Xenopus tropicalis: one gene and its partner. The protein of the gene in region 1 interacts with the protein of each later gene in a pairwise test. Links are inferred from orthologs where the notes say so. Each region holds a gene or a part of one and is shown in the gene's direction. Other genes may lie near its edges.

The links. The genes of interacting proteins can lie anywhere in the genome.
Region 2: the proteins of tnpo2 (region 1) and camk2d interact in binary tests that used the Homo sapiens proteins (3 or more experiments, as listed by UniProt). The two-hybrid records come from large-scale screens. The link is inferred for Xenopus tropicalis from reciprocal best matches to the Homo sapiens genes TNPO2 and CAMK2D.

What each region holds. Positions count from the first base shown.
Region 1 is NC_030679.2:140,481,435-140,487,003, forward strand, and holds the end of tnpo2 (transportin-2), read left to right. Parts: intron 1-13; coding exon 14-112; intron 113-275; coding exon 276-371; intron 372-647; coding exon 648-723; intron 724-986; coding exon 987-1,086; intron 1,087-1,211; coding exon 1,212-1,286; intron 1,287-1,892; coding exon 1,893-2,000; 3' UTR 2,001-2,036; intron 2,037-2,124; 3' UTR 2,125-3,856; downstream 3,857-5,569. UniProt on the Homo sapiens protein: Probably functions in nuclear protein import as nuclear transport receptor. Serves as receptor for nuclear localization signals (NLS) in cargo substrates.
Region 2 is NC_030677.2:69,462,487-69,468,497, reverse strand, and holds the start of camk2d (calcium/calmodulin-dependent protein kinase type II subunit delta), read left to right. Parts: upstream 1-2,585; 5' UTR 2,586-3,358; coding exon 3,359-3,420; intron 3,421-6,011. UniProt on the Homo sapiens protein: Calcium/calmodulin-dependent protein kinase involved in the regulation of Ca(2+) homeostatis and excitation-contraction coupling (ECC) in heart by targeting ion channels, transporters and accessory proteins involved in Ca(2+) influx into the myocyte, Ca(2+) release from the sarcoplasmic reticulum (SR), SR Ca(2+) uptake and Na(+) and K(+) channel transport.

The sequences.
Region 1 (5,569 bases):
TTGTCTTTTCTAGCGGAGTTCATGCCTATTCTGGGCACCAACTTAAATCCAGAGTTTATCTCTGTGTGCAATAATGCAACGTGGGCCATCGGAGAGATCTGCATGCAGATGGGTGAGTGATGCAGGGCGACATATTACCCCTAATGGAATCTGTGCCTGTATATTTCGGGTTCAGTATCAGAATAGTAGGAAAATAGAAGCTTAACCCTTTGGGACACACAATGCGGTTATAGGAGCTGATGCTGAGGGGCTTTCTCTCTATTTCTTTCTTACAGGAGCGGAGATGCAGCCATATGTCCCCATGGTCTTAAATAACCTTGTGGAAATCATTAACCGGCCAAATACTCCAAAGACCCTTCTGGAAAACACAGGTGCGTAATATCCTCATGTTAAGCTGAAGGACAATATCTAGGGGAAATTCCTTAATTCTAGAGGTCCAGCTTTCCTGTAAGCATCAATATTACCTTAGACAGACCTTCCCTGAGTGTGTGCAAGGCAGCGCTTGGCCACTAGAGGGAACTAGTAAATCACCACAGACATTACAATGAAAGCTGATTGGTTCTGTCCACATCTCTATAACAGCATAGTGGGATTGCAGGTCATTTTGCTTTTTATAAGGTGCCATCTTTTGTCTTTTTCCTGTACAGCCATAACCATTGGGCGCCTGGGCTGTGTGTGTCCCCAGGAAGTGGCTCCTATGCTGCAACAGTTTATCAGGCCTTGGTAAGTAATGTTTAAAGCTTTGGGAACCACAGGGGGGGTTAACTTTTCCTCCTGCTCAAAGGATTGTGGGTAGTCCTATCAGCCACTGACTTGACACCTTGGGGAAAAGGCACTAAATTGTTTGCCCATAGCAACCAATCAGCAGGTAGAATTTACTAGTCATCTGTTACTGCTACTGGGCAACCCCCCCCCCCCCTAACTTAAAGCACCAATAATGGAATCTTTTAACGCTATAAATACTGCCTTGATCATTTAATTGCTAGGTGCACATCACTTCGCAATATCCGTGACAATGAGGAGAAAGACTCCGCCTTCAGGGGGATCTGTATAATGATAGGTGTGAATCCTGGTGGAGTTGTACAGGTAAATATGCTTCACTCTATGGGGGGGGGGGTTTGGGGATAGGGGGGCAGCAGAGATGGGTGTGTTCCCTCCATACACTTGCCTTGCCCTTACTTACTTGTGTCCTCTCTTCCCTTGTCCCTCAGGATTTTATTTTCTTTTGTGATGCTGTGGCGTCATGGATGAGTCCGAAGGATGATCTGAGGGACATGTTCTATAAGGTAAGAATTCTATAACAAAGATAGGACTTTCTTGTTCTTCTAAAGAGCGCCATACAACACCGAAACCCCTAATATCCCTATCACTGTAATCTGTTCCTTCAAACAGTAGGAATAAATACCATTTATAGGCTGAAATCCAGCTGCAAAACAGTTCTTCTCTTTCTGCATCAATTGAAATCCTGGCAGGGGAGGAGGGACTAAAACACTGATACAAATTGCAACAACTTCTCCATAGCTTACAGACAGCATGCAGGAACTACATAACCCACAATGCATTGCACAGAGATGTTCCTTTCCTTACTGACATCAAGTGCAGGGGATTGGGAGAATGCAAGCTGAGGGCAGGCGACTACTGTTACATTTTATTTGAGTCTCAAAGTAGTCAGCCAGATCAGCAGAACAGGGGGCGGGGCTTAGGGAACTGTTCCAAACCCTATTTTTACATTACAAATCATGAAAAGGCTGCATATTTTGGAATGATATTGTATATTGCAAAGTTGCTTGAAATTATGTTTACTTACTTCATATATTATATATTATATATGTATATATAGCCCAGGCCTACCCTTTATACTGGACTGACTTTTGCTTCATTGGATCCTGTAGATTTTGCACGGTTTTAAAGAGCAGGTTGGGGAGGAGAATTGGAACCAGTTCTCTGAGCAGTTTCCCCCTCTGCTAAAGGAGCGTTTAGCCGCGTTCTACGGTGTGTAAAAGGGCTCGTTAGCAGATACACACCCAGCGTGGGAGGTAAGTGGCCTCTGGGGGTTATAGTAGGAGAAGATACCTAAGGCCTTTGGTTTAGTCCACCCGCTCATTTTGTCTCTTCTCTGTTTAGGTTCCTGTTTGGTCCATGTGGTCATCGGGGAGAAAGATGTCCTACGCCCCCTCATCCGGTCTTTAGAAGGGTTTTAGGGAACAGTGTCCAAGGCTAGAATTACACCCCCTCGTCGCCAACCCCCAGGAACATTATTGCAGGGAGAAGTGTGCTGCATAGTGCAAACTACACAGCTCAACACAACATTTCAACCCCCACCCTACCACCATCAGACATGGCGCAGATTTAGTCGTTAATTTTGTTTTCTATTGTGCATCCAAGGGGGTTGGGCTTAAAGATGAAACTCTATGGTTAATGGGAGGAGGTAGGGAATAAGAGAAGATGCCAGGCACACAGCGGGATGTGGGAAGGGGAAGAAGCGGGTGGGGGGAGGTAGCGCATAGAGGGAGGGAGGAGGAGGGAAGTAATTGGCTCCTGTGCTCCGTGTTAGAGCTGGCACAGGTTCAGACGACCGTATCTCTTACAGATAGGGTTTAAATTAAGGTAGGGCAGGGCTGTTCAGCGTATTTTAGGGCCCGTGGGCATACAGAGGGAGGAAGGAAACAGAGTATTGTTCAAACTGTGTTGTAATTGGGCATGTGTGGAACACCCAAGTCTTACATCATTGCTCCATCCCAATTTGAAGGGTGGCCGGCCCATCTCGTCGGAGTGGCCTTTAAACTGCCCACCATTTACCCAATCAATTTGGGGTCCCACCTTTCATACTGTTGGCAAAGGCAGCAAGCCCAGAGCGCCAGACCTACGGTCTTCCTGCGGAAACCCCCTACTTGCCACCTACCTCGTGGATGGCTCCAAGTCACTGGCATTTGAAGTACAGCAGGGACCCAGGTTGGCGTTCATCCATGTTTTATCCAAGAAACGTTGCATTTCAGCATCCCCAGCTTATCGGCCCTCTCCTCGTGCCCCAGGATCTCCGTGGCATAAGGGGGGCTGCTTAGTTTTTATCACAAAATCGATTTCGCAAAGGGTCTCCTTAACCCTTTGGCTGCTGACGTGGGATGGAAGAAAAGAGATTTGCTTTTCCCAGCAGACTCCTAGTAAATGTTATTGTTCCTAGTGAGCTGAGGCTTCCGGTGCTGGCATTTCAGGTTCCTGGCTCCGCAGCGTTGGCCGGCACTGACTCCAAGCAATGAACTTGGGAGACAAGCATTGACTGGGTCCAAAATGGCTGAGGCCTTGCCGCTAGAGATGAGCTGGCATTGCGCTGGCAGGGAAGTGGTGAACCCGAACAGATGAGGACAGGTATTGGGGGGTGGGTGACCTTTTAACAATACCTACTTTTAAAAGCAAGAAGCAAAGGGTGGGCTTCAAGATGTCACAGCCTGCCTGAGCCGGGGTGGGACGCAATGCCGCCCGTTCAGTAATATCACCCTTCCTCCCTCCCCTGTTTTCTAGGGCACACCACTAGGCTCCAGTTCAATTCTGGGTCTGTGTATTGGTATTTGTGATGTAATGTTTCCTATGGTAAAACTGCAGTGTATTTAGTGTAAAGCCATCTTGCTTGCACCTTTGCTCAGATGAGAATTATATTCTCATTTTATGTATATTTTTTTTTTTTTTGTTAACTAAAAATGCAGGTTTTTTTTTTTTTGTGACTCAAAAACAATGTTGTGTCTTATTGTACAATGCAATATGGAACATGGAACAACCCCCCAACCAAGGGAGATGTTTGTCTCTGTCGCGGGAAAAGTAAAAAAAAAAAAAAACAATATGGAGGATTTTACCACTTTAACTGTGAGCTGGAATAATTTCTTTGTCGGAGCAGGGTGGTATGGGTACAACGCGGAATGTGCTGGGGCTACTACTGATTGGCATAAAGGTATGGGGTGAGGTGGCCTTGGCAAATGTATAGGAACACTGACACAAATTGCAATTATTGGTTACGCCTACCTTCCTGCGGGGGGGATACTGGGGGTCACTTATCAACACTGGGCAAATTTGCCCTTGGGCAGCAACCCATGGTAACCAATCACATTATTGCATTCATTGTTCTACCTGCAGCTGGCTGAAAAAAAAAACAAAAAACCCACCAATCACTGATGGGTTACTGCCCATGGGCAAATTTTCCTAGCGTTTATAAAGGAAGCACTGCTGTTATTTTGGACCAGGGCCAATTCGGGTTGTATTCAAAACAGAATTATCTTCTATTTCCTTTATTTAGCTAATAATGACCATATATTAGTGCGCTCACAGGTACTACTCCAGAGGAGTGGTAGCCACCATATTTGCCCAGTATACGGGATATCCCTCTGTTTAGCCTGGTACTATGCAAGACTGCCCTGTGTATGGGGTCCTTAAGCAATGGCCTTGATCCATCCTCTATAAGGGCAGTAACAGACGGGGAGATCAGTTGCACTGCAATGCCATCCCACCGGCTAGAATGTAAATCGCCAGTGGGATGGCATACACGTCGCTACGATTTCCCGAAGTTTCCTCTCAAGGCAACTTCAGGCGACGTCCGGGAAATCGTAGCGACGCGTATGCCATCCCACTGGCGATTTACATTCTAGCCGGTGGGATGGCATTGCAGGGAGATTAGCCAACCGCACTAAAGATTTTTCGCGGGGCAACTAATCTCCCCGTCTGTCACTGCCCTAAGAGTGGGCTTCTTAGAGTTTTAGCCATCCCAGCAGCTATAAATGGCTACCAAATCTGAGCCTCATTGGTGGCAGTTGGAAAACTCAGATGTGACTTCCGGGGTACAGTTCTCCCTGGGTAGAAGAATGGACCCCCCCAACAAAGTACTGGAAGAGCAGCAGGAGACATTTTAATTAGGCCTTCATTACCCATATACCATAACATGGTATATTTATCAGGCAAGAGAACTTCTAGTAATTTTAGCACAAGATATTGGTGCCATTTTAAGCCATATGTTAAAAAGAGTTAGCGCCACCAACTGGCAGGATTTACCCAGAGTGCCCCACAGAGTCCACGTGTAGCCAAGCCACAGATAGGCTGATATACTGCAGTCCTTGATGTTATGGTTTCTCCAGGTTGCACAGATCCAGTGGGGCTGATGGTTCCATAAAAGTCCAAAGGGCTTGGGCAGAACTCTGGTCTTCAGTCTCCCTTCATTTGGGAAAGATATTTCCTCTGTTTTAAGGCGGTTCCATGGGCTTCATGACTGGCTTCTGCCAGTTGCTCCTTGTGTATGAGCCCCCCTGACAGCCCTACCATACTGGGATCTGGCTGGTTTGATATTCGGATCGGGGACAGCATTGGCTCGTTGATGCAGCCATCAGTCTAACGACCCAGATACCCACCGCCTTATTTTGATCCCTTGGCTCACTGACTTCGACAAACGAGCGTAAATGCCACCTTTAGACCCGTGTGTGTTTATTTAGTGCGCACCCAGGCTCCTTTGTACCACAGCCCCCACCAAAGGCACACAGGGTGACCCTTGAGCTTGGTACAGTATACAGCCTCCATTAACTGTTTGAAGGTA
Region 2 (6,011 bases), on another chromosome or scaffold:
TGACACTGACTGCTGCAGGCTGCATAGCTGGTTACTCCATTACAGAAAACAAATGACACTGAGACAGTTTTTATGTAATAGATAAATGTTGCAGGGAGGTATTCAAATCATTGCTGCCCTACACAATGTGCCAGCACCAAGTGTTCCCTGTAGGCTGAAACTAGCCGAGACTGCTGAATTCTTTTCACATTCTCACATTATAGAAATATCTGGATTCCTGATGCTAACAGGCCAAAAGGGTTTTTGCTGCAGTCAATACAAACGCAGACGGAAAGCATTGATATGAAATACAACTGGGAAGTGGTGATATTTATGCTGCATGCTAATAAAAGGAATGGCATATTCTTTGCAGCTATCTTCCTTTAGAAAATATACCAACAGATTTAGAAAGCATGTGACTAAAATTGGAAGCAAATTACCAGCACATTGTGCAGCCTTATCGCTGCATATAGATTATACACTCAGTTCAGTACTGAATGTTATGAAAACCACAATTCACAGTGTGTAGTTCTTCCTGTAATCAGTGAAGTGCGGCAATGCAGCTGGTTCTAAAGCGCCTACAAGGGCCAATAGGCAAAGTCTGACAATGGTCTGTGCACTGCTGTCTACCAGCCTACTGTACCCCAGTTGTTACTGCACTTCATTTCTCAGCACAACAAGCTGGAGGCTATAAAGTGATGCTGATACATAGGGGCTGATACATTTGACCTGCTGTGGAAAAGAGGGAACAGAGAGATTGGGATTCAAAAGGCCCTGGCATTTTTAATACATGGAGGCTCAAACAGTCCCCCAATATGTAGTGACTGTCTATGGAATCTTACAGCAGCAACTATGGTATTTGCCACAATCCACAGATTGCCAGTTCGGGCCGAAGTGAACACCACCAATAAATGCAAAACCCCAGGAGCAAGCAGCTCACAGCTTCACAGTCCTGCAACCCACCCCCACCCCCCCAGTGCCCCGGAGCAAATGGATCAGACAGGATAATTGCAGAAAGAGCCGTGAGCATAAGAGTTTTGCCCCCACAGCTATGTGTATCAAGGACAAGGCATTAAAAAATACTGTTTTCCCCCTTTCCCTAAAGACAGTCCATTTCCCACTCCCCAACTGTACAAATCAATCCCCCAGTGGCCACCCCTTCTCTGTACTGGGTGTTAAACAAGATAGGCAGACCTGGATTTGTGGCAAAACCAAATAAATAAGGTTGAGGAGACTGCCTTATACAGACCAAAGCAAACAAAAGAATTCTGGGAATGAATTCCAAAACTCTTAAAAAAATCCCATTTACATGGGTTTATCCTATAGGCTACAGATCTCCCACTGGGTTTAAAGCTGAAGCCGGGATAATAGCTGATCAGGATAATAGCTGATCAGATTCCCAAACCACAAAGGCCTGGGCTTAGGGAAGCATAAATTTAGGTGCGGCATACCACCCAGCCGCTCGTAAAGAAAACCTTAGTGCATCCTGTCCCAAGTGCTCTGTATGTAAGCTAAAAGGACACGCATGCGTGCGATCCTGCTGGGGGGGGAAAATGGGGGCAGCTTATGGGCCCCATAGACAGAAATCCGGCACTGAAGATAGCGCTGAGGTCTTGCTGGCTGGTATGTTTTGCTACACAGAGGTTACCTTTTTAGCCACACTACTGACTACAAGTCCAGACATGGTGCGCACCAACTCCATTGCTCTACTTTTCCACTACATTAGTAGTTGACTGCTGTCAGTTCCTCAGTGTGGAATCAATAACACCATTAGTATCACATTCACTTGCCACAAGTCACCTGTGAATATAGACACAATGCACTAAGGGAATTATGGTCAGATCCATGGTGAAGGTAATTCCTGGGTTCTCGTGTGTCAATGATATCACTTGTGCATAACTCATTAGGCTTGCAGCAAGTTGCAAAGGCGCCTGTATGGATCTAAAAGCCTTTCTGAATCAATCAATGCATGCATAGTTTTGCATCCATTTTAGCACTTCTGCTTGCTTTCATAAATGAACCCTAGCAGGCCCATCAGCATTTCAGCATGTATTTGAAATTGAAATTGAAATTGCACCAGGCAGGTACTTCTTCTGCCTACCCCTAGTCTGCGCTCTCTAGCCCCCCCCACCTCTTGACATTACAGGCAACCCCAGCAATCACTCAGGGGCAGGGGATGGGGGAAGGTGGCCAGCCATGTTGCCTAGGGTGCCTCCCTGGCTTGGCTCTCCTCTGGCACCTGTACAGACTTTGTGCCTTTTATTACATCACCCCCTTTGACTGCTTAGTATATAGTTAATATGCACACTTTGAATGCATAGCTGCTTTTACCATGACTAGTGACATGGTTCCTGTATAAAATCAATAGTTTTGACAATATACTAGGATAAATACGTTGTGTAGGCTGGAACTAACGCCCGGTAAGAAGGTAGAAATCATGAATACAAAAAAGAAATTTACTAATGGCTTGAACTGAATGTTTTTTCTTTCCACACCATTTTTAAATCAAAAATAGCTTTGCTATTAGCTGAGGAAGTTCCTAGTTTTCTCTAACGATGTTTACTTCCACCCCCAGAGCGTAACAAACAGAGGGATTTCCCGGTAAAACACGCAGGACATGATGGTGCTATGATACCCCGTCCGATATCTCTGTGGACTCGTCTGCTGTTGTTGAGTCGCTAGAGGGAGGTGCGTTCCATAGAACGGTAGGGGGGGGAGCGAGCAGCTCGTACCCACTCACTCGCACACAGAGCACATCTAACCCGCATAAAATATAACCGTGAGCTGTTCCCTCTCGGGCTGCCATTAGAGGCAGCGGGTCGGAAGCAGTAAGACATTAGCCTGCGCTTTCTGAGAAGGGTCCTAGCGGCATGACCGACCTGCAGGACGCCTTCGCGTTTTTATAGTTTTGTCGCTGTATTTGGTTCCTCTTTCACCCGATATGACACTTTCCTTCCCCAATGCGTCTTGAGATATTCAAGCTAAAAGGAGCCAGCAGCTGTTTGTGACACTGTCATTTTGCGCTACTACGTTCTTTTGTTTTACGCTGCGCTCCCCACAGGGAAGCGAAAGTGAAGCGGAGACGGGGAAACGCTGCAAATAAGGCAAAGCACTAAGCACTAGAGAGCAGTGACCGTGTGAGCCGACCCTGCTGCGTGAAGAGAGGCGGGGAGGAGGAGGAGGAGGAGGAGAGGGGCACAGGGAGGAGGGAAAGCCGAGCATCCTCCCCAGGCTCAGGTTAGGAGCTACTCTGCGCCCTACTGCTGCCACCTCGGGATCCCGCCGCTGCCGCTTCTCTTGCCTGTCATTGCGCTGCTGCGCGTCCCCTAGCACCCCGACCGTGCACCACCAGCGGAAAAAAGCAGGGGGAGGAGGCGCTATGGCTTCAACTACTTGCACCAGGTTTACGGATGAGTACCAGCTCTTCGAGGAGCTAGGAAAGTAAGTAGCAAGAACAGATATGGCTTCATTGTCTGTGGCCCAGCAGCGCCTAACCTGTAGCCCTCCAGCCTTGGGGTCATGGGAGTTATAGTTTGTCAACACCTTAGGGCTGCTAGTTGGGCATTCCTGGCTTACACATTAGCTCTTTAATATTATAGGATGTATGTGATGTATATATACACATTATATAATAAATATATCATTTGTGTTTATGCGTAGAAATGGTCAGTTGTAGTAACTGCCCACTTGTGAAGGGCTGGAGGGACAGCATTATAGATGCCCATTTTATTTTTAACATTTGCCCAGAGGTGAACTTGTGGGAGTTTGGAAGAAATACATCACTAAAATATATATGCGCCTTGTCTCATTTGTATCTTCCTCTAATGATCTGTATGGCAGACCATTTGCTCAGTAATTGTGTCAGAATCATAACAAAAGTTACACAAGCTTAGCCAGTTAACATGATTCTCCTCTGCCCCAGCTGAACACCCTGTATTGTGACTCTGGTGTTGAAACGGTTAATTGCATAATTCATTTATTTATAGTATATGTGGGAAAAAGTGACGCATAGACGCAGCCTGTGCCCAAGTATGTTTGATTGTGCCTATCTACACTAAAGGCTCGTGCCAGGAAATAGTCCATCAAGTGTACTTTGTTATCAGCACTGCCAGTGGAAGTATGCAGTTTGAACAGCACATGGATGAAAACTTGTGTCATGGTAAAGGGCTACAAGGAGCAGCAATTGAGGTTACAGCTGAGGGAATCCCTACCCTGTAGATTCTTTAAAGGTACACTCCATCCAAAAATTGTCTAGATAATGGTAAAACAATGTGTTTATCCCTCTGTTCTCTGATTCTGACTCAGGGCCCTGGAAGACATGGATATATGTCATAAGCGTTAATTCTGTGCATTTGGATCGACACAAGTAAAAAATAAACATTATTTGCAGCAATCCAGCTTAAACACAGGAAATTGCCTTCTTTCACATTTTCCCGCGATTAAGCCGGATTGGTGCAAGTAATATGTTTTTACTTGCAATGATTCAAATGTTAGGCAAGGGGAAGGCATTTTCACTTGTTGACCATAGTAATGCATATTTACCACGGCTGCCAAATCTTCCTATGTGCCAGTACCCTAAAAGTATCTTGCTTTAGCTACATTGTTTCAGTAAGCATAACCAAAAGTGCAGAGAATATAAGCAGCCAGACTAGGGTTGCTACCTGTTCAGTATTTTATTGACCTTGGTGGAAAAAAATATGCCTGAGGCCAATGTTATTAATAGGAAAGATATATAAAAATATGGTAAGGTTGGCATTTTTGTTTTTGGAATCAAGACAGATGCAGCTTTCAACAGTCCCTTTAAAATAATAGCTTCAAGTCTCTTTAAATTATATTTTCTTTTATTTTTTTTGGGAGGTGGAAATCCCCTATAACAACAGAGGGTTTATACAAAAATAGATGCCATGCACGGAATGTTCAGCAATGAGAAATGCTGTAAGGACAAATAGCCTAGTGCTATAAATAGCAAGCAAAATCTTAATACACTGCTGGGGGGTGAATATTGCCTGGCAATACAGTGTAAATGTAGTTGGCCAGAGCTTCAACCAGTGGCTCGGAAACACAGTCTGGATACCTTATATTTCTCAGGGGAAATGAGGGAATTCTTCCAGCTATCATTGCTGGTGACTCACACTACAGAAATTCAGGTCAGTGTGGAAACATCTTGCTCTCCTAAGAACTGATTAAATTGCATCTTTTTATGCTTTCACTGTGTCTGGCCACTTGAATTTTCTCAAATTTGACCTTACTCTTTTATCTATCACTATAATATGTATTGCCCTAAACATAATGACACTCCGTTTAAATATCCACTCTTGACAAAGAGCTCATGGGAATCCTCCATCCAGAGCCAGTTACAAGAGGCATTTACTAGTGTTGAGAAGGAAAGACCATTTCGGTTTTCGTTTGAGGGTGTCAAGGTCCTACAGGAACACTAATCACTAATGTTTTTGCCACTCTCCATCCTAATGCTAACTTGTGTTTATTTCCTTCTGCTGCTTTTTAAAACTAGGACTCCATGGTAATAGATCCTGGTGTTTATTTTTTAGCTATGTGATGACTACAGCTCCCATTATTTACTGGCATTGAGCACATTGTACTGGAGATGGCAGCTGAATTAAAGGAGCATCACTATGTGGGTGTTTAGGAAAGGGGGTTATTGACAGTCTAGGAAACCACTGACATGGACTGAACACATTCTGGAAGATTTTAAAGCAGAGCAATCTACAATATACCTTTGGCAAAAGAGAGAGAGAGGATGAGAGAGGAGAAAGAATACAGCATTGGGTCCTTTTTGTAGCATTATTTTCGGTAGACCACTGACTGTTCTGCAGTCCTGCTTGTCATTTGTAGTGTAACATTTCTACAGACTGTACTTGTGTATTTAAAACACATGTGTGAGTGTGTTCTGCAAAGAATGTTTATTGGATATTTTGGTGGAAGCAGAAGCTGAATCACAACCACTGTTTACTGTTAGCAGAAAGCTCTAATGGTAGTGTAGAGAGCATGAATAGTTCAGTTTGCAGGGTTTC